Lonchura striata: one gene and its partner. Each later gene encodes a partner of the first gene's protein in a complex. Links are inferred from orthologs where the notes say so. Each region holds a gene or a part of one and is shown on either strand. Other genes may lie near its edges. The genes, in order: CFAP36 and ARL3.

Region 1 (15,739 bases):
GAAAAAATCTGGGATGTCTCTGTTGCCCCCCGCCCCAAGAGTCTCTTGGCAGTGGTGGCTTGTCAGCAATTTCACCGCGGGGAAGGAGAAGAGCGAGCGGGGAGGGGCCGCAAGGTGCCCAGCCACTGCTGTGGGAGCCAGATCCTGGGCAGAGAGCCAGACAGGGAGTCGGGACTTTTAACCCTTCCTTTAGAAATGAAAGCTTTGTGAAATTTTTTTCCCCCTCCTTGGTTTGAAAAGAGAGGAAGAGAGACACCTTGGACCCTGGGATGTTAGAAGGAGAAATTTTAGATAAGAGGGGGACAAGGAGTGGCTTTTGGCTGGACTTTTTCCTTGGTAGCCACCGACTGAATCAATCTTCTCCTCCAAGAGAGACTGTATTTTAGGAGGATGTCGGTGAGCCAAGAGACCTCCTTCAGCTGGGAGAAGACAGAAGTGGAGCAAACAGAGAAAAGTTAGGGAGGTTTGTGGTGGTGCCCCCTGTCCTCAAAGAAGAAGAGAAGAAGATCTCTGTTCTTGGACCCTCGGCCCCAGGGGGAAAATGGGGGGGTACTGTGGTCCCAAAAAATGGAAAAACCTGAACTGTTGTTTTTTCCCCTCTTGGCAGGGCATCCTTGAAAGGAAAATCCTAAAAGCAGTCTGTCCATCCATGCATTGGTGGTGAGAGCACTGTGCATGGAAAGGCGAAGGGTCACCATGGCAAACTTTTTCTCTGGGTGGTGCCATGTGTGACAGGGAAGCACAGGATGTGGCAGCTGTATTTCTTGGGGGGTCTGTGGCACAGGAGAGGCTCCTCTCTCCCTCAATGGACTGAGTATTGATTGTCTGGAGAGTGGAAACCTGATTGGGGTCCAGATTGTGTCTTGCTGTGGTTTGTTGGAGTTGGGTGGTGGGAGGAGGAATGCTTTGCAAGGTTTTAATTTTGAATTTTGTGTGTGTTTTTTTTCTTTTTCCTTCCTTTATTTCTTTTATAGTAGTAGCTTAATAAAGTTTTTTTTTCCCTGTTATTAAGCTTGGGCCTGCTTTGCTCTGTTCTGAATTCCATTTCACAGCATTTATTTGAGAGATTGCATTTTCATGGGGGCACTGGCATTGTGCCAGTGTCAAACCATGACACCAGTGTAAGCAAACAGCTGTAGTTCAATTGAAAACAACAATTTCACCATTAAAACTTTTCCAAGTTTCATCTCCTGCCAGCTGTGTTAGGGAAAACATCAAGCTGAGAATGAAATCCATATATTCCTTAATGAAAGCAAATACCTGGGAGGTGTGGGTCTTTGCAAGAGGAGAAGAAAAAGCTTCTTGAAATTTCTCCTCATTAATTCCAACTTCTTTAAGGTAGTCCTCTAGTAATCTCTCCACCTGTAAGAAAGTATAAGCCTTAGCTTCTAAGGTTTTTCCCTGAGAATCAGAGGAATTTTTGTCATGATTGTCTATTCTTTTCTGCTGATGTGGTTTATAAACTCAAAGGAAAATCACTAAATAGCATAACTGACTTTTCTGATTTCAAGCTTTATTTGCTTTCATGCACTGTTCAAAATGAGCATTTTTATTGCTAAATTTGATGATTCCTTAACATATCTTCTCCAATTTCCAGGACTCTCACTCGTGTACCTTTTCCCCAGATTCCTGGCTATTATTTCTCATGGTTTTTTCATGAAAATAAAAGGCTTTTTGCCAGTCTATGCCTGAAAGCCTTAAGGGTCAGAGCAGAAATGAATGTTGGTTTGTATTTCTTCAATCAAAGCTTTTTAGTATCATGTATTTCCCAGCCTCATTACAGAAAGTGTTAGAAATCTGCAAGTATTATTTGATAGGTATTTAAGCTTCAAAACTTTCCTGTCATTTTTTCTGATAATTGAAAGATAATTCGAAAGATTTCCCAGACTCATCGGTGAACAAAATACAAGTTGTGAGTGTTTTCAGACATCCTGCTGGTTGTCATTTTCATTTGATAGAAAATAACATTATCAAGCTTGTAAATACAATCTTGAAGGTTGTGGATATATTAATTTTAATGATGAATATATAAAACAGCCTAAGAGCTATGAGTGTGTCACAGTTTCTTTTCTATGTACCTAGTCTTTAGGTATATAAATGCACATGACAACTACAACTCACAGGATTTCTGAATAACATCTGGAAAAATACTAAATAACAATAATAACCCAATTAGAAGTTCATATAAATACTCAGTTAAATAACATTTTAAATTCTTTTGCTTAGAAATTTACCACAGACAGTGAATAATGCTCACCAGAGCTTGGTACTCCTGATAAATTTCTGTGTAAGACAACTTGCTTTCTTCTTCATCATCAAAAACTGAGGAAGGGGAAGAAGTAACATTTTGCAGTCAGTGTACAAACCACCACAAATTAACTTACACCCTAAACAGCAAGATTAACCTTTAGAGGGTAATATATTTAATCAATGAAAATATAGGCCATGATTTATCAAAGTCCTCTGTTTTTCCACAAACTCAGGCTAAGTGTGTGCTTTTGATAACTGAAAGCAATTAAGCTGCATAATTTAATACTGGGAAAATGTATCTTCATAACAGACTTGTAAGCAAGTTGAGGATTCAGCAGATACATTCACTAAAAGGTAAGTTTTAATATAAGAACTACCCCCTATGATTCTGTGTAAGGTTGTTCTTTGGTGGCAGATGACAGATCTGGAGGGCAGATCAGACAGGAAATTTCTTACTCTCCATGTATTTACATGGAAGAGATATTTATTAATGACATGAACCATCTTTTAAATGTCATTCATGTAGTGAGAAACCAAGGTGATACAGGGAAATGAGTCCCTGCCTGCAAAACCAGATAAACCCAAAGAGAAAATGTGGTGCAGTTAAGTGATATTTTAGTTAAATCAATGTAATTTATGAAAAATGGACATTCCGATACTAAAGTCCATATTAATCATATTAATGTAAATTCACATCAAAATCCGTAACTGGAACTACTCAAGCTCATGATCTCTATGCTGCAGAATATCTGGAAGAAGCTGAGAATGAGAGGAACTGAAAACTAAGGGGTGGGGGGGTGGTGGTAATGTACATTTTTTTCATGCCAACAACTAAGAGAGGTAAAGTAAAACCTGGCAATTAAAGCAAAGGCTTAGAAATAAGTCTGCCTCAATCCCCTTCAAGATTAGCCACTTGGACAAGTCACTTGCCAGGAACATTCTTTGAAGTCATTTGAAGAATGGGAATTCTGCTTAAATTGGTGAACGAGTGTGATTTATTCTTCATGTACATGTGACATCTCTGATGGTGGTGATGCCGTGGAACCAGTGCAACCTTCACACAAATTCAGAGTGACTTTTTTTTGAAGGCATCCAACATCTTTCCCAGTTGGGACAGCCCTGAGGCCACATCACTCCAGACCTGGACACAGTGTGAGCTGAGGTGGCACTTCCTAAAGCAGCATCACTTTCTAACACAGAAGTGCAATAACAGAAATCCAATGACACATTTCAGGTCCCCCAAAAGCAGAGGAAAATCTGGTTTTTAATCATACTTTGGAAAACCAACATTGCTTGGGGGTTTTGCACAAGGCAAAATTTTTAATGAAGAAATTAAAATAAAAGGCTTACACGTATCTAGGATTAAATTCAAATTATAGGGAAGGTATTATAGATATCAGTTCTATGCAACCACCATATTACTAAACTTGACAAGTGAAGACACTTGACAGCCTCTGTTGTCTCCTCCTGGCTGGGGATTGCTACCAGCTATTGCAGACCCCAGCTTTCACCTTGGCTTCTCTGTCCCTTTTTCCCCCACCCTTCCTGCCCTGGGGATCCCAAGCACAGGGATGTCACCCCTTGGTGACAGCTGGCCTGGCACTGCCAAGGCGATGTTCCTCCTGCAGAGCAGAGTGCGAAGCTGGCACACTCTGTCCCCGGGCTCAGGACACAACGGGATCAAGTTCAGTGCCAAGTAAAGCCAGCTGCAGTCAGCATCTCCTCTCAGCTAAGTGGCTTTAAGGACTACTTGGAACAGAGACCTTGGATTTTCTTGAGTCAGGGCTTCTGAATCACGTAGTCATTATTCCTTAAGGTTTTGGCACAGCCTTTGGTCGCCCACCAGGAATAAAAATCTTAAGAACCACAGTATGAAGACAAGCCAGGGGACATAGAAGTCCCGGGAGACACTCATTATCTTCTTGTTAAAACTGAAGATCTTGGCTAGGACCCCTCAGATGGAATGATACACACCCATCTATTTAATTTCAGTTTGACGTAAAAGCAAGTTAACCAAGCAATAAGAAATTAATCAAGTTCCCAGAAAGAGGGAGGGAGAGAAGCAAACACTTGCTAACAGATAGAAAACCATTACAATAAGTTTAGAAGTTGAAGTGCAAGGACTTGGCCGAAGTAACTACAGTTGTAAAATGAATTCCTCACATACTGACTACCAAAACCTGAACTGTATTTTTGAGGAGTCACAAATTATTGTCAGTTAATCAGAGTGCTCCTAATTTGCTAGTCCAACCCAAAATCAAATGTTTTGGGAATGCAAAGGACTCTGTCCTGACAAAGTATGTCAGTACAAAACCAGCACTGGAATCAGCCCAGCAGGAAGTGACCATTACGAGCCTGCCTCACACTAGGTGGAAATTTACAGCGGTTCTACAAATCTTCTTACTGTCAGTAAATTCCGCTCAACCTTCTAAGGAGAAGGGATCATTGCTCCTGAGAGGGATAAATCAATTCCCTCGATAGCTAAACCTTTGCAAGACAACCAGAATGTTAGGCCCACCCTAAGTTTTGGCAGACTTCCCAGGACAAAGCTTCCAGTCTAGGTTTCTCTAGCCCGTCCTCGCCGTGAAGGCTCCAGGAGCTCTCCCTTTCTCTTTTCCCAGTTTTAAGAGGGAAAGGCATATGGACTCATTACAGTCGTGCCTCGTGCAGAGTTTGGGGGGGGCGGGGGGGGGGGCGGGGTGTAGAAACGATTCAGGGAGAAACTGAAAGGTGATTTTTTTCCAAAAATCACAAACAAAAGCTGCCTTTGTTTTTCCAAAGGGCTTAGGCACTGCTTTCAGACCTGCCCAAATTGTCATTACTTTGCTACTGTAAGGATCCAGGTGTTTTTTGGCAGCAGAAGTTGTTCTGTAAACCGAAGTAATTTAGCCAAATCTCTGCATCAGAGAGTCTACTTCCTCCTTCCCCCTCTGCAGATACAAACCTGCACAGGCCTCCCCTGGCCACAGGGCAATCCTGGCCCCCCCTCACTGCCTGTACTTCCACTTTACCCAGGCTGCTCCCCAGATTATGCCTTGGTTATCTCAAGAAGACAAAGGAAGAAATGGAGGTCTGAACTGGAGTTACTTCCAAGCTAAACTCACCCACAGGATCACCTACAAAACGTTGCCGGTGATCACTGACAGTTTTGACTATCATTTTTGCGAGCTCCTAAAATTGAGGGATTTTCACCTCTTAATTGACAACGTTCGCATAATTGCAGGAATTTAACTTTGAGCCTTCTCTTCCTCTGTTGCACTGACCGGATGGCGCTCTCGGTTGTCCAGACCAATTTCCTAAGGACAGCTCCCGGCTCTGGGAGAGCTTTGGAGGCCGTGCCGGGGTCCGAGGCGCCGCAGGTACGGCGCCCGCTCGGCGTCAGCCGTGAGCTCACGCCATAATCCGAGGGCGAGCTAATGGATGCGAACGGCGCCTCCGACACACGGCTGGCCGGCCCGGGGGACGCGGCGGGCGCCGGGAGCCCGGCGGGGGCGCGGCCGGGCGGGCAAGGGCGCTCCCGCCCGCCCCGGCGCCCAGGGCCGCCCCGCGCCCGGGCCCGGCCCCGCCCGCCCCCCTCACCCTCCTCACCCTCGCAGTTGTGCTCCATGAACTCCAGGATGGGGATGGACCAGGCGGGCCCCCGCAGGAACCCGGCGATGGTGTCCACTACCCACTCCACGTCGTCCTCCTCCTCGGCCGCCATGGCCAGCGGCGCGGCCACTATGGCAACCGGCGTCACGGGGTGGGTCCTGGGGCCGGGAGCCGCCCTCACGGCATTCCCGGGAAGCGCGGCCGGCGGCTGCGGCGGGCGGGGAGTGGGGAGGGCGGCAACGGGAGCGGGGCTGGCAGCGGCCGCCCGACTCGCGGGTGCTGTACAGCAATGGAAAGGAAAGAAACGAGTACTTTACGGTGGTTGTTAGTCGCCAGTGTTGAGGGAATACGGGAACAGGCGGCTCAGGCAGGCTTCCCTCTGCCTGGGGATAGCCGGGATATGAGGGGCACGGCCCTGAGAAGCCGCCTTGCACTGGCCCTGCGCCTCCCGGAGATCCCCAGGTGTTCTAGCGCCTCTCACTCGCACTTTCACAGTACAGTCCAGGTTGGGCTTGCATATTTGAATTTTATTTTAAAAATATCCCAGATAATGGAAAATTCCTGTTATCGCCTATTTTATTATGTGCAGAAAGCAGTGACATTGTGGAGAAAACAATAACGTGTTCCATGTCAGTTGTTGAAGGTGGTGCTCTAATTCTCATGTTAATAGCTCATCAGGCCTTCATAAGAACACGGACAACTTGTAGTTTAGTAATCTTGAAAAAACCGTACAGTTTAGAATTAGGAAATAATTTACAAGGCGATGGGTAAGAAGGATTAATTAACACTTAATCATTTGGGTATTTCTTAGGGCTGGTGATTGTGGTATATTCCTTTTCTCCACTAAAATTAAGGTAATTTCTCTCACTGTCCTCATCTTTTACACTGCTGACACACTGAAAAGTTTTTCTCAAAGTTTAAATGTATGTTCTAATACTGGATGATTGCTTGTCTTACTGGTACATGTCACTGGTAAGTAAAAAAAAAAAACAAAACAAAAACCCAAAAAACAAACCCCAAAAACCCCAACAAACCCAAAAAGAACCTCTTCATCCTTTTTGAAATATTTTAATGAGCACAAACAGTGGCAGTTCTAGTTCATTGCATCAGGATCAGGCTTGGTCTTGTTCAAGAGCTCTTGTAGTCATTAATGAGATTTTACCTACACAAAGTTTCAGTGCTGGGTAAAGTCTTATTTATTTTCTCACTGTTTTTTCTCAAAGGTAACAATCCTATGCTCTCAGAACTGCAGAGAAGTACCTGATCATCATTTAAATAAGAATCTGCACTGGAAAAACTTCAGATTTTCCTTTTGCAGGCCACTTTTTTTCACCATCAGCGCTTCCATTTCTGTAGCTGGTTTTGTGGTCGGAGAGCATCAGCAATATGGCAGGATATTCACTTCCTATTTGTTGCATAAAAAGTTAAAGCATTTCATTACAGTTACAAGAAAAATTGCTGCAGCAATGAGTATGAGGAAATTCTGTCCTCTGCAATCAAATCCGTTTTATCACCGCACAGGAAACTGCCTGATATGATCATGTTCTGTCCATAGATGTCAGGCAAAACACTGGAGTTGGTGGTTTAGTTGTTAACAATACAAAAGATGGAGCAGGAAATGCTCCCTTAGCTGAGTCACAAAAAGCATTTATTGCTTGATTTTCTGTCTGCTCTGAGCAAGTTGCTACTTCAGACATTTTGACGTACATACAAATATATATATATATATGTTCCACTGAATTCTTTATGTCAGTATCCAACTCTCTTCACATCCAGTGGGTTCCACTCACAAGCACAATAATAAAGTTTGAAATTCCAGAATCTTGAGACTGACTTCTTTTTGCAGAAAGCCATTTTTGATCTGTTGCTGAATTTATAAATTTATTTATCTATTTATAAATAAAGTGGGAGGCAGATAAACTTCTTAGCTAATGGCAGAGGTGGTTTTTACATCACTTCTAATTTCTTCAATGTGGATAAATTTGTAGCTTTTGAGAAATTTAAAGGATACTGGCAAAAGTGCAATTATCAGATTAACAGTTAAACAGTATTATTTTTATTTACTCTTTTGTTTAGGCTTTAATTCTCCCATCCACCTAGTTTGTAATAGTCTTAATACTGCAACAGCTATAAATATTTTTACCTTAGTAAACTTAATGCAACTTTTCCAAATTTTTTTTTATAAATTTTAGTTTTGGAGGGATTTTTTTAATAAATCTGACCTCAAAGAGAACACCGAGCTCAAGCTTCTGAAAACCTATGGTGCAAAGACCTTTTCTTTCAGTCCAGTAGACAGAATTAAATGTGATTTCTGTATAAAAGGTTGAAAATTAAAACACTAATCACTTCATGCTCATTGGCAACAATTTATTGTGGAGATTTTTTATTAAGTATGTTATACTTAAGGGACTTCACTGCACTTTAGTTAAAGCTTATGTTATACTTAAGGGACTTCACTGCACTTTAGTTAAAGCTAAACTAGGAGAGAAATTGGTTCTGAGCAATGCAGACACATTGAAGAAATGCCTAAAGTCAAGTAAGGTATTGTGAGTTATCTTCGTTTTCCTCCTCTCTGGGATATTGAGCTCCTGCTTGTTGCCTTCTGCTGAGAAGGCAGAAGACCTGGTTTCAAGGGACAGCACGGCAGCCCGGCCTCGCCCGGGCCACTCAGGCCACAGACATACACAGACACCAATGTGGTGGATGGTCAAATGGCCTTTATTACCTTATCTCGTGAGGTTAAATAGTCAAGGGGGCTTTGCTACGTCAAAGGAAGAAGGTAGGGTCTCTAGGGTTAATAAGGGGTGGAAAACTACTGGGTTAGGAGGGGTTACCTGTCTCAGGGGTGATGGATTACATATCACAGGATGAGGGGGGAAGGGTCTTGCTTTCTGTTACATCCCAAAATCTTCCATTCACCTGTCCCTATCTACCACACTGCTGGAACTTCTAAAGATCTTCCTATTTAGGTCATTTTCTTTCATTTTATAAAATTGTTCTTTTCTCTTGTGACTTGAAGGTTTTATACAAATGTAAGGCTGTAATCACAGGATCCATTCTGCCTGAGAGGCCATTCGTAATATAATTATCCAATAATAAGCATATGCCATTGCCTTTTCTACAATAATGCTTCTTAGCTAAATTATCTAATCTTAAAAGTATCTCAAGTGTCCAACATCTAATACATTCTCTTTATAGCTTGTGAAAAAAAGACGCTAAAACTACAAGAATATTATTTCTTCTATTTTTTAGATTTTTTTTCATTTTTATACTTTCCACAAATCATGCACATTTTACTCACACGTTTATCCGAAAGTCTATTGATACACCTAATTTAATATATTTTCCTGAAGCAAATTTTGTTGTCTATTTAGCAACAATAGGATTAATTCCCATGTACACTTTTCATAGGGATTTTCTCCGCACACATTGACCTGGTGTTCTAGTAATTGCTGCAGTGCTTTTACCATTGCTTTTTCTGTGGTGTCTACACCTCTTGAATTCCAAAAAGTCTGGTAACAGTTTAGATTTTTCTGTCCAATTTCAGCTGATTGTTATTGATGGAAGATGAACTACGGCAAGGTGAAGCCTGTGGTTTGATCTGAAGCCAGTGAGTTTTGTTATTCTAATCTCTTCTGGCATGGAGTTCTGCAGCCATGAGCAGGTTAAAAAAGGAAAAAGAAAAAGCCCTGTGACCTTTCTTTGGAAGTGGAGAGTTTCAATGAACCAGAAAGATGGCATGTGTGGAGGATGAAATGGTATCAATAAGGGTATGAGATCGTTAGAAATAGTAAAATAATAAACTGCCAGATGCATGGGCATTTTATTCATTGTGGAATAAGTGTGCGAGAAAGGTCAGGGAACATGGTTGCCACAAATCCATGATAATAATAGGTAAAAAAGAAAAAATATAACCTTCAGTTGTGTATTGATTTTGGGGAAAGATCTTTATTTCTGAGCTTAGGAGACTTTCTACATAAGTCCATCTTCTAACACCTTCAGCCAAGAGTTATGAAAGCTATGTAGAAAGACTCCTACACACAAACACATTTCTCTTTCTCTTCAGTTTTTACCACTGTGAGAATTGTGCATTTTTAATTTCTTTGTAGAACTTCTCTTAAAAAGGACTCCTCAATATTAGGATTACTGATTAGTGTTACCTGGGGCTATGTGTGCAGTGGGACTAGAAGAGGTCTGAAGGCTGCCCAGCCTTGGAGTTTCCTTGACTGCACAGTGCAAGAGAGAATTTATTTAAGACATGAGTTTGGTTTGAGTCATTTAGTGTTACCTCAGGGCTTGGCTTACAAGAAGGTATTTAAAGACAAAGTGCTGGTTCTGGGGGCTCTGGGGAAGACTGGAGTTTGCATTTCTGAGTTTTATTACCCACATGTTTCAGTTGCCCCCAAGAATGTTGGCTAATTGCATTGTATTGTTGATTATAAAAGACAAAGAAAAATCCCAAGGAAAACGATACACTGGAGTGCCTCACAGAAACTGCTTTCTACTGCTGAAACAGAAATGTTGGGAAGGATGGATAAATATAATTATTAATAAATAATACAGCCAGGATGAGAACAGTCCTCTCTGCTAGCCAGACAATGCCCTTGCCTATGGATGGGTCCAGGGGTCAAGTGGACTGTTCCGTCTCACCCCCCAAAATGTATGGCTCACCCCACACCTGTAACCCTCCCCTAAAACATCAAGTGCCTGTAACCCCATTGGCCCAAGTCTTGTTCCAGCCCACCTTGAAGCCCCCTGATAAGGGGTCTCCGAGGGGCAACACCCTCTCTTGGATCTTCCCCCTCATAGGACCTCCACCCTTTCCTAGAGCATCCTCCTGTCTCTCCCCTCCCCCATCTCCTTAAGCTTCACCACGTGCTGCATCTGGCAGCTCGAAGCAGGACCTTTCTGCATCCCTAATAAACCTTATATCCCAAGAGCAGCCTTCAGAGATCTCTTGTCTCCATTCACCTAAACCATCCTGCTCACAGTGTACCCTACAGACTGGCGCCCAGCGAGGAATACGAACCCACACATCTCTGGAAACCTCTCCAGGTTTTTTACCTGTGGGAGACTTCTCCATGGACGGTAACTAAATAACCTGTTGTACTCCCTCATCGGTGTCGTGAGCACGGCATTTCGTTGCCGGAGCTCTTAAAAAAATTGCTGAGGCAATCCTCGAGCACCATGACTCGTTACCAAGTAGTGAGTTTTCGGAGCTCTTGGAGGATTCTCCGCCTTGAGCACAGGGAACGCTGCAGAGCAGCAGAGACCCGGAGCTCTGTGAGGAGCCCTGTGGCACACCGCCACGTGCAGAGAGCGCAGAGAGCACTGCCTAGCACTGCCCGCGCTGGAGCCCTGAGGGGGAGTCTGGGGGTCCCGAGCATGGAAAAGCCATCCCTGAGAGACGCCTGATACTGGAGATCTTGAGGAGGACCTCCCACAGAGTCCTGAGCACTGACTGGACAGTACGTCGGAACTCCACAGAGGATCCTGCTTTTGTGACATTGAGGTGAGCTACACAGGTCTCCCTCTCGAATCCACGGGAACAGATGCCCTGTGGAGCCTGGCCAGCTGGGCAGTGGGGCGAGGTGGGCAGAGGGAAGGAACTTCTCCTCAGATCCCGGGGGGCTTGGAGAAGCTCCCACGTGAGTCCAAAGACGAGCTGGTTGCACAAGCAAAGGAAAGAGGCTCTCTCCCTCAGGATTAGTTCCAAAGTTTAATGAGGGCCTGGAGAGATCCCAGGCCACATCTGGCTTCGAAGGACATCCAGAGCAAGAGAGAGGGTCTCCCGGCCCAGAGAAGCCAGATATAGGGGAGCGGGGAAAACTGAGCAGGCAATGGGGGAAGGACATGGGAGCGGCTCTCTGGGGGCAAGGCCTCAGAGTGACCACTGAGGAGGGGGTTGGGGAGGAGTTCCAGCCAGGATCCAGTTACCTGGTGACCCTGGGAGAAGGATCTGGAAAAAGGGGAAGGGTCACCAGGTGATGGACACATCACCTGGGAGGAGACGGGGATGGGTTGGGGTTTGATGGACATACAGGTACTGATGGGAAAGCTGGGATGAACCAAACAGGTACAAAGAGGGGATATGGAGGGACAAACCATTATGAGGGGATATACAGTGCACACACAATTCTACAACAATCCCACTCTGCCCCTGATACAGATCTCTATAAGCAACTTAACCATGTCTTACGTAGCCGTAACAGTACTTTGTCTAAGAAAGAGTTAAAAAAACCTCCTGGAGTGGATTCTGCTTAATTTCCCCAATGCTGACCGGTCAGCTGTCTTTACCAGAGAATTTTGGGACTCAGTTGGAAATAGACTTTTTATTGATATTTCACGCGGGGATCCCGATGCTTGTGATTTGCTCCCGGCTTTTCGGACTGTAGCCAATTTGTTTGCTTCACGGAAGCCGGCGGCAGCCGCTTTGCTGGTTCGCGTGGTTTCTGATGACCCCTGTGTCCCCCCGCAGCCCCTGTGGCCCTTGCAGCCGCCCCACCCCCTCCTCCGCCATGGGTCCCTTGGCCGCGCCCGTCCCCTCAGTGGCATCTTTGGCAGCAGCGTTCACCACCTTTGCTGGCCTGTTACAAAACCACGTGGCCGCGTTTTTTACAAGCAATAGAACCGGCGCTTGCCGCAGCCATCTCGCTGCCGCCGCCGTCTCCCGCAGGTATCCCTGAGGCCCGGGAAGCAGCGTCACCCGCGCCGCGGAACCACGCGACCATACCCCCGGTCCCAGCGCCGCAGCAGCGTCTGGCTGGAGGCCCTGCGCTGCCACCCCAGCCCAACCACCCCCAACACAGGGAGATGCCGCAGGGCTCCGTAACGTGCCCCTGATACCTCCCGCACCTGTGAACACGCGGCAGCCCTCTGGCCACCCGGCCCCAACACCAGCCCCTGTGCAAGAGCCCTCTGGCTGCCTGGCCCCGACCCCGGCCCCCGAACCTGAGCCCTCCAGCCACTCGGTAGATGCGGCCACCATCATGGCTCACCAGGTGGACCTTGTGACGCGCCCCATGCTTGTGCAGTTCGCGTTACTCCCCGACCACCCGCTCCAAGCCACCCCCACTGCGCCTCTGATGCAGCCCCCTGCTTCCCACGTGCCCCATGCCACGGTCTACGCCCAGCCGACGTCCCCGCATCCCCCCACAGCAGTGCCAAAGCCTCCAGTTCTGGCCGAAGAAGCCCCGCCGCCACCACCGCTGAGAACACCACTTCCAGGCTTGCCGGCTCTGCCACCGTATCCATCTGCACAGCCAGCCCACCCAGGTCTTCTTACAGCCTCATCACAAATAGTCCCCCCGACATTGCCTCCTTCGCAGCTCCTGGAAACCCCAGCCCTACAGCCACCAGCAGCTCCTCCACGACCGCAGCCTCCAACCTCCCCCCACCCTCCAACCAGTCTGCCTGCAGCACCACAACATGATTCTACAGCATCCTCTGCACACCCCTCTGTGTCCCTTCCTCCGCTGGATCTACCTTCTGCAGCTGCAGCCCCAGCTTCGAGATATCCTTCTGCACATGCCGGTTCTTCCCATGTGCCTTTGCTGACAGGCTCCACTCCTGCTCCTCTGCTCCAGCTACCAGCAGCTCCTGCAGCCGGTTCACGCAGTACCCCACCACAGCTTGGCACGCAGCGAGAGGGAGAAGGACGGAACCTGGAAGCTGCTTTGACAAATAAAGGACACACTGAAAACTGTAGTCCCCCTGCTAATGCTACCCCCACTACCTCGATTTCACAGAATTCCCAGAAAGGTGTTGATAATCGCCAACTGATAGACTGGCATGGACTCAGACGTGATAGTCACAAAGAGGACAGTCTGAATCCCCAATCCATGCCTGTGGCATTCAGCCAGAAACCTGGTGGTCCCAGAAAATGGACAGCTGTCCCACCTCAGGATGAGAAAGAATTCCTAAAAGCAGTAATTGACAGTGGTATCTGCTCTTCCTATGTTACACAACTGTTGAGAAGTACCATAGAAAGAACATATCAAACCCTAAAACGCAGTGTAAATCTACAGAATGGGGGAGTTTATCAGGCTACACCTCAAAAGAGGTTAAGGCTCTGTATGTTTACAATTTTTTAAATAGCTCTGCAGAAGAGCCTGATCCCCTGATTTATAAGCATTTCCTGAATAATAAAAAAAGCAAAATAAAAGGGCACCCCCCAGTCTTAATCAAAACCTTAGATCCAGGACAAATAGAAGGACCATGCAAATTTATAACATGGGGAAGAGGGTCTGCTTATGTTTTCACAAGTGAAGGACCCAAATGGGTCCCAGCGAAGAATGTGAAGCCTGCTGGCACCCCCACACCAGGTAGTGCTTCTGCAAGTGCAAGCCAAGAAGCAAGCACCCAAACTTGAACTACACAGAGTCATCAAGAGGAAATGACCTGCCAGAAACAGCTTGAGAAAAGAATGGAAAATTATTGTTTGCATGCGTGCATGTTGCTTTTGTTCCCTTGTTTTAATTTTTGTATTGAAGTTTTACCTGTAAGTCAACCAAAGACAAAAGCCTGGGTTGCTTTAGCCAAGTCTGCAGGCTCTGGTACCATCTCTCTAGCTGACACAAGCCCTAACAGACCTTTTTCAACCTGTTTAATTAGAGGACATTTTCCAGAAGGTTTGATAATGCTGCCTCAGTTAAATTCTTCCATTACACTAAAGCAGTCAAACAAGTTAAGATACTGGCTCAGTAAAGAAGTAAATGCCACCTCTACTATAATCACTAATTTAGCTGAACAGTTTATTTGATGGTTTGAGCTTTGCACCTTAGCTAAAGGAACTCTGTAAAGTAGGTTTGATTATTCTAAAAGTAATAAGTGTAGTTTCAGTAGCAATACCCTGTATACTTCAGAGTGTGCAGAAAATAGTAGTTAAGTCAATGTTTAGCATTTCAAATGGTTTAACAGAACAGGGGAATTGTTGGGAAGGATGGATAAATATGATTATTGATAAATAATACAGCCAGGATGAGAACAGTCCTCTCTGCTAGCTGGACAATACCCCTGCCTATGGATGGGTCCAGAGGTCAAGTGGACTGTTCCATCTCACCCCCCAAAATGTATGGCTCACCCCGCACCTGTAACCCTCCCCTAAAACATCAAGTGCCTGTAACCCCATTGGCCTGAGCCTTGTTCCAGCCCACCTTGAAGCCCCCTGATAAGGGGTCTCAGAGGGGCAACACTCTCTCTTGGATCTTCCCCCTCATAGGACCTCCACCCTTTCCTAGAGCATCCTCCTGTCTCTCCCCTCCCCCATCTCCTTAAGCTTCACCACGTGCTGCGCCTGGCAGCTCGAAGCAGGACCTTTCTGCATTCCTAATAAACCTTATATCCCAAGAGCAGCCTTCAGAGATCTCTCGTCTCCATTCACCTAAACTGTCCTGGAGCACAGCGCTCCTTACACAGAAAAATCAATTGGATGTACAAGAAATACTTTCATAGAGATACAGATGGAAGTGCTTTTTACAGAACCTCATCAGTCCTGTTTCATGGATTTCAGATGTATATGACTTGTAGTAACAGGATATTGGAAGAATGACACAAATTAGGTTAGCAGAGTACATCTACTGGAGAGCAACAGTTTATCCCATGTTCCAGGGTGTGTTACCTGGCTCCCAGGTGCAGAAGGGACTCCACACTCTCAGCTCATGTGCTTGCTGTGCCAGCTCAATGTGGTGGAGCCCCGTGTTCAGATGACACAGGAGTGTCAGGGTTCTGAGATCTGAGCAGAGCCCAGGAATTCCAGACCCCTCACTCCACTCCATTAACTATCCTCATTGCTGCAATTGGCCTTCCAGCAACTTGCAGGTTTGGGGGGCACTGATCAATAAGGGGTTTTCCCATAGAGCTGGCAGTGGGGAGAATAGAGGTGCTGTTAACATGCTGC
Region 2 (15,657 bases), on another chromosome or scaffold:
TCTACAAGCCCAGAGCAAACCTCTTACTCTGTCCATAAGCAATAAACTGCACCATGTCCCACTCCCCAGGGCAGGAAAAGAGCTGATGTGAGATGGCAATAGCATTTCAGGGGGTCTCTGTGCTCCATTGTCCCTCTAGTATGGATAGGGACAGGAAAAAAGGAGTGGCTAAACAGCTGAGCTTTGCTGCCACGGTCCCAAGTTTGGCTGCCCCAGAATCACTGCCCATGGAGCACCCTGCCCTGCCAGGACCCCTCCAAACTGCCAAGGCAGGAAGGGTGAACAGCAAGAATAGGGAAAAGGCAGGTTTTGGGTGCTATAGCACATCATTTTACAAACATCGCCATGCTCCCAAGCATGCCAGAGGCACCTCAGACCCAAAAGATCGCTACAGGTACTTTTCTGAAAGTCATCACAGCTGTTTTGGGTGTAGGACAAGAGCAGTGTGAGCTAAGGAGCTTAAGAAAAGCAGAGGGCAGTCTCCTTGTGGCTCCTCTCCACTCCCAGCAGGAGTGACATCTGTTTCATTTCATGAGCTTATCTATTACTTTAATTGTGCTTTAACAAGAGATCTAATAATGCCCAGGGAACAGATATACAAGTTTGAACATGTTTTCCTACTTTCTGCTCTGCTATTAATTATTTTAGAGGTCTTTTACAGCTTTCTAGCAGTAGCTACATGTGGTTGGAGACATTATCTTTGCATGTTGCACCTCTGGCAGAAGCAAACCTGCTGTGGATACAGCTTGGCACTTCAAGAAGTACTTTTTGGGTTTGGCTGCTCTCTCTGAGGGAGCAGAATGGGTAAGGTGTCTGTACTCAGGCACGTGGCTGATGTGAGAATGCTGCTGCCCCAGAGATCTGACATGTATCCCTAACTGGAGGGAGGAGCAAGGATCATCCACTGGGCCATGGGACTCTTGGAGCAGCAACATCATAAGGCTTTGTTAGAACACACATGTCCCACCAAGGGATGTTCATCAGCCTACAGAGAGCCTGGATGCAGCTGATTGAAAGCAGAGGCTTTAGTCCAGGACCTGGGGTCCTTTCTCCCCCAAAACTAGGCTGCAGCACACTCAAGCTGCTCTCCTTTGGGGTGGGAGAGGCCTCATGGCAGATCTAAGATAGCCTCATGAAACTCTGCCTGGCCATGAAGATAAACAGCACCCATGGGTGTAGGAAGGGTCACCCAGTGTTATCCTCCCAGGACCCAGAAGAGGATGACTGTCACTGTGAGTACAGCACAACCACCTTTGTCACTTGACATAGCACTTTGCATCCCCAAGAACCCCTTCGGGAAGGCTGCCATTGAAGGCCCAAGGGTTTCAGAGCTCATGCCATCCCTCACACTCTTCCTCCTTTTCCTGGCTCCTTTGGTTACCCTCACCCTGATGCTTGGTCAGTCACAAAGTCCACACTTTTCCCTTCCAAGGCAAGCGTGAGACGCACAAACCAACCCAGCCCAGAGAACCAGAAACAGAGATCAGCCAGAAGCACAACCCACAGCTGGTTTTTAAAAATTACCGCATTTATTTTTCAACCTTCCTCTGCTGTTTGCAGTGCATCAGCACTGAGTGAATTCAGAGCCTGAGTGAATGCCTTGACAGCACTGTGACAAGAAAGAGAGGAGCTACTGGACAGTGTTCAGTGGAGGGCCACAAAGATGATGAAGGATTTGGAGCATCTCTTATGAGGAGAGACTGTGAGAGCCAGGTCTGTTCAGTCTGGAAAAGAGAAGACTGAGAGGGATCTCATCTATGCATATAAATGTCTCAAAGGCAGGTGCCAAGAGGATGGTCCCAGGCCCTTTCAAGTGGTGCCCAGCAACAGGACAAGGAACAATGGCCATAAACTAAACCACAAGAAGTTCCACCTCAACATGAGGAAGAAATTCTTTACACATTGAGGATAGCAAAGCACTGGAACAGGCTGCCCAGGCAGGTTGTGGAGTCTCCCTCTCGGGAAATACTCAAAACTCGCCTGGATGCATTCCTGTGTAACCTGCTCCAATGACCCTGCCTCAGCAGGGGGGCTGGAATAGATGACCTCCAGAGGTCCTTCCAACCCTAACAATTCTGTGATTTCTGTCTTCTTCCCCATGTCAAAGAGGGCACAGAGACAATCGTCCCCTAAAGCTGCAGTTTCATGGTTCTGCTGTGGGGACCAGAGATGCAGGACAAGGGTGACAGTGCTCAGCGGAATGAAAAAATTAGAGCTAAAAACAATTAGCTATTTCTTTCCTGGCTTGTGGCAAACACAGAGTCAATAGAACCTGAACCTGAGAGCAAGGAATGCATAGTCCAAGCATTGGTCTCTGGATTTTGGAATGGTCACTCTCATGGTGCAGAGAGAAAAGGTCCTTTTACACCTGCCAAGACATGATCTGTCTCTTGGGAAGAGTGGTGGTTTAAGGCAGGAATGTGGTTTGGTTGCTGGTACAATGGCAGGATATCTGCATTTGGAGGTAGAACTGCTCTGAGCCACAAGGGAGAGAACCTCATGGGGCCAAACCCAGTGAGGCCAAGACAGGCTGGGCCAAAGGAAGGCACAGGAAGCACAGGCATCCCTCAGGGCAAGAGGGACATGCAAAGGCTGAGACATGGCCAGCAGCAGATGGGCATGGGTCAGAATCAGCCAAAGTGCTGCAAGCTGGACACAGAGTCAGATCCTGATTCTACAGTGGAAAAAGGCTGCAGAGAAGGTTCTGGGTGGGGGCACAGATCTGGGCTGGACTGTGCCTCTGACCGTGCTCAGGGGACGTGGGAATGGTGGTGGCAGGAGGCCAGAGGGGAGTGATGGCTCCTGAGGTAGTCTTCATTCACAGTCCTTTGTTAAAATAGACATACGGCACTTTGTCCCCGTGCTTGGCCATGATACTGTCACGCAGCTCCACCTCAAGGTCAGCCAGTGCAAGGGAGCTGTGGAGAGGGAGATACACACTGAGAGCCATGATCCTTCTCCTCAACCAGCAGTCAAACCATCCTCCCTTCCCATTGCCATCTGAGGCCTCTGCAGACCCTGGGATCTTGCAGGCTCATGGAAAGACCCATCACCCTTCCCTCCCAGTGCTGGAAAGCAGAGAGCTGCCCATGGAGCTGGATGTCCTGTTGCTCCCAGCACAGAGCTCACAGAGCAGGGGAGGCACATGCTTTCCTGCTGCCCTGGGCACCAGTGTGTGCAGGCAGGCACTGCCTTGGGTTAAAGGGTGGGTGCCCATCACACTTCTCCTGGGATGGGCAGAGAGGAACTAGGGAAGGAAGGAGGCTCCTGAGATCCCATGCAGGAGGGGGAAACAGTGGAAGAGGTACCATCGCTGGGGGAAGAGGGCACAGGCTGCTGGCACCATGAACAGGAGGCTGTGGGACAGAGAAGAGCAGAGCATTAGTCCTGGGGATCCCAGCCTGTTTGCCCTTCAGCCACAGGGATTTCAGCCCAAGAAGTGCTGTTCACACCCCATGACTCCCAATAATTGGGCAAAGTCCAAGCTGAAAGGTAAGCAGCTTTGCAATTTCTTCTGGGAAAGTATTTTTTCAAGCATTTCGTTGGAGCCATACTCCAGGCACTCACAGGTGATTGAGCAGTGAGATACTTACAAGCCCCCACAGAGCAGCACCTGCAAAGGTCCATGGAGAACCCGGATCCGCTGCAAGAGAAGAGCCAGGACTGAGTCCCTGGCCTCGCTACAAGACCCACTCACAGGGTGAGCAGACTTCTCCCCTCAGTAGGGCTGAATGCCCAACACCTCTGGTGTGCACCAAACCCTGCCACCCTCTCATAGCCTCCCACGTCACTTGAGAGGCCATTGGTTGTATCAATGACTAAAGTAGGGAGCAGAGCAAGCCGGGCTCTGCAAATCCCCATTTGATCCCCAGCATATCAGCAGCAGGGAAGCTGGGCCGGAGCACCACAGAACCCACTGGCAGGGGAAACATGCACTCACCTGCATGAAGGTGAATTTCTCCAGCCGCTCCATGATGATAGGCAAAATAACTAGGCACAGAGAGCAAAGGTCAGCCCAGATCCCAGAACAGCTATCCTGCTAGCCAGCCTGCAGGGCTGTCCCAGCAGGACCATCCACCTGGAGGCCGTGGAAGCAGCTAGTTATGCTGGGGGCAACTGGGTGTTTGCTGACAGCAAGGACCTAACACAAGACCCCCACACATCCATCACTCGGGCAGCATGGTCTGTGTTCCTCATGTTCCTGTCCGTCCTTCTGGGCTTGTCAAGGGTCTCAGGAGCAGAGGGGGTGCTGGGCTGCAGGGTGAGGGGCTAGGGCCAGAGAGCATGAGATGCATCCTTGTGGGGCCAAACTGCCATAGGAGCACTCCCTGTCTCCCAGGCTGTGGTTTGGCATGGAGGGGGCTGGGGGCTTGGGGACCTCTGATGGGAATGGCCGGATGAGGAGAGAAAATGCCATCTGGGACGCAGGGCCACCCTCCCTCTTTTTCATGAGGGAAACTGAAGCAGGGGCAGGCAAGGTGGCGGGTCCTGGAAAATCCCCAGTTCAGCTGTGCACCCTCCTGTCCCACACTCACTCATGCCTGGTGCTGCCATGGTGATCCTGGAGAGCACAACCTGCGCAATGCCCTTCACTGCTGCCCTCTGCAAGCAAAATCAGCAGGTGAGCCCCGGCAGCGCCGTGCCCCAGCCCAAATCCCCATCCTCAGACTCACCCTGGAGCAGCCGAGCTCATTGTTGTTCTCATCTGTCACTGTGATCCCGTTGATGATCTCCCTGAAGGGGACAGGCAGCCGTGAGTGGGGGACAGGATGGCCGGGAAAGCATAGGGACACAGTAACGGGGTGAGGGGGTGCCAGGGGAGTCCTTTTTACACAGTAGCCCCGGATGCCCCCAGGGCACGGGGCTCCAGCACCCCGGGGCACCACGGTCCCCAGCCCAGCCGATGCTGCCATCTTCAGGGCACAGCTGCGAGCAGGATCTGGCCATGCTAGGGACAGACACAGCTGAGCCAGGGCACAGTCCCTCACGCAGTACCTGAGCTCCTTGTGCTGTGATAACCAAGCAGCAGGCACAGGTCACAACAAAGACCCCAACTGGGGTGTCCCAGCATCAAGATATAATGGACTGGGGTTCTCCCATGACATGCAGGAGATCTTTGGGTTTGAGAGATCTTCCAGCACGGATTCCAGAGCAGCTATCCTCAGCCGAAAATCCCCCTCCTGGGTGGAGGCTGAACCATCCCACCCAGCACCCTGCACCACAGATACAGCACTGCAAATGCACAGACCCCAGTTCATCTCTCTCCAGCTCTCAAGAGGGGAATCCAAGGCAGGGAGGGCAGGCAGCCCAGGAGCTTGGCTGCCACCAGTTTGCCTTTGGAGGGAGCTGGGTCCCTCAAGCCCCCCAGCCACATGTGACACTTACTGTTGCCGCATCATGGGGATATTGACACAATTGGCAGCAGCCACAGCTGCAAAGGGGACCCAGCGGGCCAGCAAGGGTGGGGCTCGCTGTGAGAAACAGGTTGGCATCAGCACGGGAGAGCAGGATGTGCCCAGCTGCCCCACCTGGCCCTAGCCTGGCATACCTTGGTGTAGAGGTTGAGTCCCACTGCAGTGGCCAGGGCTGCACCAGTGGCCGTGACATAAGCCACCCCAATTTGCCTGGACAGCAATTTCAAAGAAGAGAGATAACAGAATCACCAACTCGGACTCAGCCCTGTTCCTTCTGTGCCCAAGACACAGCACAGAGGGTCTTTATAGGGCATCCAGGGGTGCATCAAATGGACACACTCCACCCTGTTGGGCTGCTCACCTCAGAGAGATGGGGGAGGCAGCGTTGCGGTTGGTGTAGTTGACAAAGGCATTGAAAGACTGGTTCACCCACTGCCAGAAAACCACGGCAGGCACTGTCCTGTGGAGGGAAGGGATGGGAGAGCACCTGAGGGCTGTCAGGGACACCTGGCCTGTGCCTGTGGCCAGGCTTGGCAGGGAGACAGCCAGGATGCCTGCAATCCACTCATCATGATGTCTCCAAAGGGAAACTGAGGAACTGTGGCAAAGTGACAAGCTAGTGGCAGAGCTGGGAAATGATCCCAGGAGTTCTGGTTACCCTGGGGACCATAGGAAGAGGAGGGCCCAGTCCTGCAAGGCACTTGGGCAGGGGTGGGAGACAGCTCTCAGCAGGGTGGCAGCCATCCTCTGCTGGGCTGAGATAAGCCTTTGTCAAAGCAAGCAGCAAGGCGCAGACACACAGGGACAGAAGTGGCTCTGGGGAATGAGGGTGCCTGGGTTTCTGTTGGTGTCTCAGGGACACTGACGTGGGGCAGGAAGGGACACAGGGAGCACGCTTTGGAATGCAGGGGAGTAGAGAAGGGAAATGCAGGGAGCTGTCAGCAGGGGCTGGGGATGCTGAAGCAGCCTGGCCTAGGGGCACATTTGTTCCTCAGTTTCAAAGACTGCTATGGGCCACAGACCAAGCGCAGCAGCCAAGCAGGATTTGGTTGCATTAATCATTACAGGGGCTATGGGAAGATGTCAGCTGAGCTCAGGGTGAGGTGAGACCATACCCAGCCATGCCATGGGCCAGAGGAATCTGTGATGCTTCTACCACAGGCTGGGTGCTGAGGACAGATCCCAGAGACATTGGGCTTGACCATGGGACACAGGCAAACACAGCAGCCATGGGCATGCCTTAGGCAGCACCCAGCCCCATAGAGGCAGGCTGGCTCTGCTCTGGCCATCAGGGACCTCGAGAGGGGCTAGGGGCTGTCAGGGCTGTCCCCAGGAGCTCACCGATAGAACTGGAGCATGCAGCCAGTGATGGCCATGCCCCCTGGCACCTGGAAGGACATCCTCCCAATGAGGTTCATCTTCTCACCGCTGTCAGGGTGGAAGGCTGAGTCGTACAGCTTCTTGGCATAGAGCAGCTGCTCCTGGCTGCTTCCTGGTGGCACCAACCCAGCCCTGCAAACCCAAAGCTCATCAGGGGAAGTTGCACAGACCTGCCAGCACCCAGCACTGCTGAGGCACAGAGCTCTGGGCACCACATGAAAGGCAGAGGAAACATCTCCAGAGAAGGATGCATGTCACAGCTTGAAGCTCCTGGGAGAAGCCTGGGAAACGCCCCCAAAACTACCTCCAACAGATGTTACATCACTGCACACCTGCTTGAGAATGACTCCATCCCCCTGCAACACTGCACAGTGGTTGGCATGGCCATGAGCACAGGGACAGCACCTCCCCCATCTGTATCCCTGCCTCTCACCTGCAGCCCTCCACCAGGGCCTTGGCCTGGTCCAGCTCCTCCTCTGGCACCAGCACTGTCCGAGGGTCGGTGATGTTGAGGAAGTGCTTCAGGCGGCCCACAAAGGTGCTCTGGTCCCAGCGTGGGGAGTCAATGTTGAAGCTAAGAGAAACTGTGGCCATCTTGGCGTAGGTCTGGGCAGGGAAAAAGGCCGCTCAGTAGGATCCTTTCTTGCTTGCTCATTGAGTGCACACCTGCCACAGCCACAGGAGCAGCTGGATGAGAGCCATGGCAGGTTTATGTTTAACAGGACAACTGGACTTTCAGCAGCCCTGAGCCAGGAGGCCCCTGCACTCCTGCTGTCAGCAGAACACTGCAGTCAGGCCACTCCTTCACACATCATCCTGCTTGCCTGGGGTCACCCCATTTGTGCTGCACCCCATAGCACCTCGCACCCCCTCCTTGGGGTGATATGGTGCTGTACAGCACTGTAGGGACCAGCTCAACCCTCCACAAGGCTGCCTTGCAGGCACTCCTACAGGGGCACTACTCTGCAGCCCCCGAGTATGCACAGCACCTCACACTGTGCTGTGCCTGCCACAGCACCATCCTGCACATCCCTCTAATGCTGCTCTGCACTGCCATGGCACTGCCCTGCATGCTCCCCGGGGTGCTGCGCCACATGCCCACAGTTGCACAGCACAGAATCACAGAATGAATTAGGCAGGGAAATACTTCTGAGATCATCTGGGCCCAGCCTATGACCAAACATCACCATGTCAACTACAGCATGGCTAACCTAGCCTAACCCTAGCCAAGTGCCATGTTCAGTCTTTCCTTAAACACCTCCAGGGACTGTGACTTCACCATCTCCTTCGGCTGTCCTTTTCAGTATCTAATCACGCTTCTGTAAAGGAATTCTTACTAATGTCCAGCCTGAACCTCTCCTGGCACAGCTTCAGACTGTATCCTCTCTCCTGTCGCTGGTTGCCTGGGAGAAGGGGCCCATTCCCACCTAGCTACAACCTCATTTAAAAGGTAGCTGTAGACAGCGATAAGGTCTCCGTGAGCCTCTTCTCCAGGTTAAACGCTCCCAGCTCCCTCAGCCACTCCTAAGACTTGAGCTCCAGACCCTTCGCCAATTTCCTTGCCCTTCTCTGTAAGGCACAGCAAAGCTCGGCACACCCCAGACTCGGCCCGGTATGGCACAGCCCCGGCACTCCTCCAGCGCGGCTGGGTCACGGCTTATGTCGGCCCGGCACGGCACGGCTCGGCACGGCACGGCCCGGCACGGCTCGGCACGGCACGGCCCGGCCCGGCACGGCACGGCCCGGCACGGCTCGGCACGGCACGGCACGGCTCGGCACGGCACGCCCCCGCCCCAGCCCGGCCCGCCGCGCCCCCACGTGTCCCCACCTGCGCTCCCAGGCCCCGCTCCCGCCTCCCGCCCCCGCGCTCCGCCGCGTGGCCGCCCTCAGCCAATCACAGAGCTCCGAGCGGCCGCGCCCACCTCTCCCGGCAGGGCCGGCCTCGTACGCACGCGCCGTTAGGGGGCGTGGCCCGGCGCTGGCCCCGCCCCCGGCGCGGGCACGTCGGCGCGCGGTGGGTGTGACGCAGTTGCCCATGGTAACCCCGGGCCGCGCCGAGGATGGTGAGCGGGGCGGGGGCCGGCGGGGCCGGGCCGGGCCGGGCTGGGCTGGGCCGGGCCGGGCTGGGCTGGGCTGAGCTGAGGTGAGGGCCGGGGCCAGCGCGGCCGGGGGTGCCTGAGGCCGTGGATGATCCCCCCGCGGAGCGTGGGGTGATGGGGGCTGCAGGGTCTGTCGGGCCCGGCCGGGCTCGTGGCAGGCACGGGCAGGCCTTGGGCCGTGAGAGGGGGTGCCAAGGCGATGGAACCAGGGCGGCCGAGCCAGGCTCTACTTGGTGCTGTCGGGCACTGGGGTAAGAGGTAACGGACAGAAACTGATGCACAGGAAATTCCACCTGAATACAAGAAAGAACTTTGCTGTGCGGGTGACCACACATTGGAACAGATTGCACAGAGAGTTTGTGGAGTCTCCCTCACTGGAGATATCCCAGAACCATCTGGACGCGATCCTGTGCCACGTGTTAAAGGATGACCACGCCTGAGTGGGACGTTGGAGCAGATGACCGACTGTGGTCCCTTGCAGCCTGACCCATCCTGTGACACCCACCCAGGGACCCTGGCTGGCCCGGGGTCCGAGTGCCCACCTGGGGCATCCAGCCAGGCATGGGGGCCTGGGGCTGTGCGGGTGCAGGCACCCGTAGAAAGGGATGAGAACAGTGCAAGTTTGGGGAAGACCCTGGCTGGGGTTGGGGCCCTGGCAACACACAGATGTTATGGGGAACATAAAAAAGGGGGTTGAGTCCGAAAAAAGGCAACAGAACTGGTGAAGGGCCTGGAGCACAAGTCCTGTGAGGAGTGGCTGAAGGAGCTGGGATTGTGTAGTGTGAAGAGGAGGAAACCCAGGGGTGACCTTATCCCTCTTCAGCTACCCAAAGGGAGGTCATAGACAGGTGAGGATTGGCCTCTTCTCCCATGTAGAAGTGACCCAAGTGACAGGACAGGGGAAAATAGCCTCGAGCTGTGCTGGGGAGATTCAGACTGGACATTAGGATGAATTTCTTCACAGAAAGGGTGATTGAACATTGTAAAGCACTGGCCAGGGAGGTGGTTCAATCACCATCCCTGGAAGGGTTTAGGGAGATTGGAAAGGTTGTACATGGCACTTGGTGCCATGCTCTAGTTGACATGTAAGTGTTCAGTCATAGGTTGGACTTGGTGATCTCAGAGGTGTTTTACAATCTAATTGATTTTGTGATTTTGTGAATCAGGTCTAGACAGAGGCCGGGAAGATGCTATGGGGGCTCTTTGTTGGGATGGAATCAGCATGCCTGGAGCTGATTCAGTCAAGGTGTAGAAGGTGTGATGCAGAGGTGGGTGCTTGGGAGGGCTGGGGACCAGGATGGCAGTGTCCTGAAGAGGGAAGGAGCAATGGAAGACCTTGGCAATTATGGAAGGCAGCGCTCAGAGATTGTCTGTGAAAAGTCTGGGAGCAGCTGTGACTCTAAAGGGACACTGGACAGCCCAGCCAAGATGGGAGGAGGCCACCGTGGGACTTGAATCCTGGCTGTAGAAATTGAGGGAGCTAGAGGACAGCTTGCTGAGGTGGAAGGGATGGTTTTTAATACACAGCCTGAGAAAGGGAGTTCAATCATGGCAGAGAGAGACTGGATGAAGGGGTTAGGTGTTCAGAGATGGCCAGGACAAAGTGCTCAGAGGCTGAAAGAAAACTGCCAGTTGGATGGGATGGACCGTCTGGTGAGTCAGTGGGAAAAAAACAGTCAATGTTTGGCTGGCTAGGATAGTTTGCTGGGATGTTGTGTGCTCTGGGTTTTCTGCCATGGGCTGGCAAGATGAGGGACAGTCTAGGTTCAAAAGAAGAAATAAGAATAAACTGTAGGAAAGATTGGAAGTGGAGTTTTGATGTTGATGAAAGAAAGAAAGATCCCAGGGAGAAAAGAAGTGTTGGGTGATAGAAATAAATTGTTTGAGAGGTAGTAGCATGGAATGAAGGAAAAAACTGTGTGTCTTGGGTGGAGGGCAATGCTGGGAGACAGGTGAGGTGGTGAGGGTGTAGTGCAGTCTAAATTGAGGTTGGAGGAAGGTTGGAAGATAGACCAGGGTCATCCAGGTGTTGGAAACAATTTGGGTTTAGATGCCAAAGTAGTTGGGGTGGAACAAGTGGGATGCTGGCAAAGTGCAGCGAGGACTAGAAGGAGGGGTTGGAACTATGGGTGAGGGGTGGTGAGAGAGAGCTGCTGTGGATGTGGAGCCACTCATGAGGATGCTGCATGAAGAGCGAGCACAAGCAGAAGGCAATAGCAATAGGGAAGGATATTTCCCAAGGGCAAAGCTTTATTTTGTCCAGGAGCCCTCTGGACATAAGTTGGATTCATGCAAGTAGCGGGATTCATGCATGGGAGGAGGTGTAAGCAAGAGCACCAAAGGCAGCTTCTCATCTTCACTGGGTTAATTCTGGCTGCATCCCTACCTGCTGGGTCACAGAGAAGAAGATTGAGATAAAGCCTGTGGGATCTGCTCTATTTTAGATGAGTTGGTGATGGGGCATGTCACACCAGGCACCAAAGTCATCACAGGATGGGCATCTGCTATAAAGATGAGGCAGCTGCCTCCAGCAGTGCAGTGTTTTGTGAGACACATTTGGCTTGCAGCTGCCAGATCTACTCTTCTGCCTTATGATGTCCTGATAAGCTGGTGTAGTCTGGGATCTGGCTGCTCTTATCCAGGCACTTTGTGTGCAGAGAGGGTGACTGGGTGTTCACCAGTGTTCGTGTTATTTGATACAACATTTTACTGCCTCTTTTTCTATTTTCCATTTCTTGGAGTTGTTTTTTGAATTATAACCACTCAGACTCTAGGGTGGGTGGCACTTTGGGGTGCCTGGTGGGCTGGCTGGACTGGATAGAGGACTGGAGAGCAATGCACTATCTCTCTAGATTCTCATCTTTCACTAAAACAGAACAATCATTTGTGGTAGAAACTCCAAAACAGCAGCAAATACATTCAAAGCAGCTATGGCAGCCTGGGGGTATGGGTCAGCAGTCAGAAATCATCCAGACAGCTTGATGTAACAATTTACTGCTTGTCGTCTGAGCCATGGTAGCTGCCCATGAGCACGTTCCTACCATGTCCTGACTGCACTGGGAAGCGCTTAAAACTCCCCTCGATGTCTGCTTGCTCCAGCTCCAGTGATAAGAGGGTTAATGCTGAGGTTTAAATTATTTCAGTGTTCATCCAAGTGAGTAAGTACAGAGGGGCAGTGTCTTCTTCTGCAGAGCATACTAGGATTTCTCACAGCCATGGGGCAGGGGTGGTGGAAGGTTGTAGTTGGAGCACGGAGGGAAGGATGAGCCATAAAACTGCAAAGCAGGAGAGATGTGTAGTGCTGATAGTCTTTGGCTCCATTAAGCAGCATCTGCAGTGGGTGCATGGCAAGGACGAAGGGAGGCTGCTACATGAAAGGATATGCTGCTTTCCAAAGTTTAGGCAATACTGTGAAAAGCAGAGCTTGTGGCTTCCTCATCACAGTAATGCTTTCTATTGTCACTGCAATACCAATTTTTACCAAGACACATGGTATGTTCTTGATAGATGCTGGGGCCAGAAGATGGCTAGTGTTTTTCTAAAACCATTGATGGAAGATGACATCACTGTGTCAAAACCAGATTTGTCAAAGTGTGGCCCTGTTTTATAGTTGAGGAAACTGAGTTACAGAGTGCCTAGCTGACATAAGGCACATCTGGTGAAAAGGATAAAATACCAGCATAGCTAAATGCATAGTCAGGCATCTTTCTCCTGGTCTTGAGCTCATGTTTCTAGGTAAACCTGCATCTATATCTTGCCTGCTCTAGGCATACCTTATACTTAGAAATTCTTTATTTTATCCCTTGTTCCTTGTCAGTAAGGCTCTATTTAAAATGGCCCTATTAAAAATGCTTTCAAGGATTATAAGTGTCTCACTACTTCAGTTTTCAGTACAGTTCAATGTCATGTTTTTTGGTTTATTTTACTGATTGCTGAGAGGATGATATGAGAAATCACCTGCAGATAGGAAATTACACCAGTCACTGGCCAAGGCTTTGAAGTTCTGATACTAGACAGAGACTGCTGACATTGTCCAGTGCTAGGCATTGGCTCTTCTCTGCACAGGGTAAAATACTTCTTTCAAACCTGCTGAAACCGGGGGAGTTTGATTTTAATTATGAAAAGAGGATTCATGCTGGTATTGGTTTATGCATCAAACTGGGAAGTGCTGTGTGACCTCTTTAACAGAAAACTACATTAGTAGTTTGAGCTGGAAAAACTCTGTAGGTGACTCGACTCCGTTAAATTTTGGATTTCAATGCAGGAAAGAAAGTCTGCATTGAATGACACCATATGGTGGTGACATGCAGTAAGCAAATGATTTTTTGGGAGTTTTGCCAGAGTAAGAAGTATTGAATAAACTGTGCTCAATAGATTAATTTACTTCGGTTGTATTTTGAAAAAGACTGGATGATTTTATGACCATTAGTGACATTTGCAGTTCTGCAGCCGAAGATAAAGGTAATCAGACGTCATTCTTCAGGACACCAGCTAATCAGTGCAGTTGTCAGGAAGGACTCCCCTCCTCCAGCTCTGTCTGTGCAGGATTGCACCCTGGATGACAAATGTAGCCTCATATATCCCCTGTGCAAGGCAAGATATTTGGCTCAGCTAAGCCCCTCGTCCTTCCCTGTGTCAGCTTCTCCTGCGTGACTTTCTGAAATCACGTGTACCCTCTAACTTACACTTTGAAAATGGTGAACCGCTACCATATTGCTTAATAGAAAGTAAATAAATTGGTGCCCAGAGCTGTGCTAGGTGCTGTGCCGGCAGAGCACGGAGGTGCTCCCATGCCATGGAAATATGGTCTGTCTGGGGTGAGAGATAACCAACTGATATGAATAAGTAGAATCCAAGACAGGTTTGAACTTGACATGTTTGCTGCCTAAACCTCACCAAGGATTGTAGGTGTGGCAGAGAAGGAATTAGCAGAAGAATCATGGGCTGGTTTTATGGATATTTTGTGAAGTTTCTCCCACAGTTGTAGGAGAGTCACAGAAGTTTGTGAATAGAGCTCAGCAGTGCTGGGGAGCTGTAGGGAGACAGGAATTGTCATCTCAATGGCAAATGTGCTTGGCTGAGATGAGTCTTGAGGATTAAGTGATTTGTGGTTGCAGTAGTGGGGAAGAGGGCATCTCTGCAGAGGTGTAGAGATGGGAAAGATGTGGTTGTAATGGCAGGCTGAGCTGCTGAGCTTTGTGGCTCTGTTACATCTTGGTGAAGTGCATTGATTCTATCTAAATGTCCACATCTAGTAGATAAGCAATTGGTGGTGACTGAGGGTGGCTTTATTTTAAATTCATTATCTGAGCCTTGTGGCTGATAAAGTTAAACAGAATACATTTACTTCTCTTTCCTATTAAGAATCAACCGTGCTTTGCAGCAGCTTGTGGGCCACGCTTTTTATCCATGCCCCGTGTATCCAACCCTCAGTACAAGGGAGAATTGTTCTTTCTATTATGGTTTTATACTGCCAATCTGATACAATATTTAAACAGATTATCTCAATGCTCTGTTTGTCCCAAACCAATTTTTGCTTTGGCCGGTAAAGTGAATCTTCCTTTCAGTGGCTTCTGTGGTGCAGGATATAGTTACATACATCAACTAGTTCAAGAGACCCATATACTGAATGAATAAACCCACAAAACCCTTAGCTAGGACTATAAATGTCACAGTATTTTTATATATGTAGGATTTTTTTTTTTTGAGAGAGAATAGGATTACTGCATGCAGCTATAATTGAAAGTCCTTTGATAATTTGGTGGGTATTTTAAACCTAGCAATGATATACTTTCATAAAACCACGCATCCCTGTTTTCTGAAGGATGCTAATAAGATGGTTAGCTTTGCTTTCATGCTCAATGTGTTTATGAGTGCTCTTACCCATTTAGTTGCATCTTCGAATTTAATGCCCCACTCTGATTTCATAGTAATTGTCAGGAGTCTCTTTTTCTTTATTGTATGTTCCTGCTCGCTGTCTGGAAAATACAGTCTCCTCATTGCTGACCCCATCAGTCTGTCTCCTCACAGTGCTTGTAAAGAAAACCCTCTCCACCAAGGACAAAGATGTTTTTAAACAAGCCAATCTGATATAAGACATAGTTTGCTTAACCCAGAGGTGACCAAGAAGTGAATGCTGACTGACTGTGCCCAGCCTTGAGTTGCTCTGTCTGGCTGCCCTTCTCCAAAGGCTGTACACGCTGCCATGCTGTGCTGTTCATTATCTGAGCAGCATCTGCAGTTCCCTTCCCTATTGCAGATGCCGCAGTCTGCTTAGTTTTGTGCAGCTGACACGCTGCCCTTACACTCCTGTGAGGCATCTCTGCAGCTCCTCAGCTAGCTCACATCTACCGTGGCCTGCTCAAGATGTGTCCTGTTCTCACCCTGGACACTCCAGTGAGCAAGTGCCACAGGCCTGGCTGCTATGCAGGCATCCTGGGAATCCTCCCTTCTCGCGACTGGCTAAGTCCCAGCACGAGACATTTCTTACCTGCCCTGCTTCAAAAATCTGCTCCTCCTCTGTTGCTTCTGTGCATCCTCTTTGTACCAGATCTTCCCATTTCATGGCTTTCTACCTGACAGCTCCCACCAATAACAAGGCATTGCTTTCTGACTCTCCTCAGTCTGTTAGTTTCAGCATTGTGTTTGCCAGCAGAGGAGTGCTTGTCCATCAGTGTGTGTGCAATAGGGGCTGCTTGTCCCACATCGTGGTGATATGCAGCAGGGAACTCTGCTGAGTTATTTTTTACAATCTACTAAGCTGT

What was found.
Region 2: the proteins of CFAP36 (region 1) and ARL3 are in contact, whole or in part, in a crystal structure (PDB 4ZI3), measured with the Mus musculus proteins. The link is inferred for Lonchura striata from reciprocal best matches to the Homo sapiens genes CFAP36 and ARL3. Residues at the interface, in NP_080016.1 of Mus musculus: Glu44, Glu45, Ser46, Lys47, Leu48, Thr51, Glu52, Lys58, Val61, Glu62, Leu65, Glu76, Phe79, Gln80, Cys83, Thr84, Ala88, Lys89, Leu97, Val100, Leu101, Ala103, Glu104, Asp105, Phe106, Thr107, Ile108; in NP_062692.1 of Mus musculus: Leu3, Leu4, Ile6, Leu7, Arg8, Lys9, Leu10, Lys11, Ser12, Arg19, Lys35, Glu40, Pro47, Thr48, Gln49, Gly50, Phe51, Asn52, Ile53, Lys54, Trp66, Ile74, Tyr77, Ser80, Tyr81.

The regions. Positions count from the first base shown.
Region 1 is NC_134605.1:27,068,161-27,083,899, forward strand, and holds the start of CFAP36 (cilia- and flagella-associated protein 36), read right to left. Parts: upstream 6,005-15,739; 5' UTR 5,954-6,004; coding exon 5,839-5,953; intron 2,323-5,838; coding exon 2,258-2,322; intron 1,363-2,257; coding exon 1,261-1,362; intron 1-1,260. UniProt on the Homo sapiens protein: May act as an effector for ARL3.
Region 2 is NC_134609.1:20,179,995-20,195,651, reverse strand, and holds the start of ARL3 (ADP-ribosylation factor-like protein 3), read left to right. Parts: upstream 1-8,759; 5' UTR 8,760-8,854; coding exon 8,855-8,857; intron 8,858-15,657. Other genes in the region: SFXN2 (sideroflexin-2), read right to left, coding at 2,819-2,918, 3,309-3,356, 3,594-3,643, 3,941-3,990, 4,536-4,602, 4,674-4,734, 5,386-5,471, 5,549-5,624 and 3 more. UniProt on the Homo sapiens protein: Small GTP-binding protein which cycles between an inactive GDP-bound and an active GTP-bound form, and the rate of cycling is regulated by guanine nucleotide exchange factors (GEF) and GTPase-activating proteins (GAP).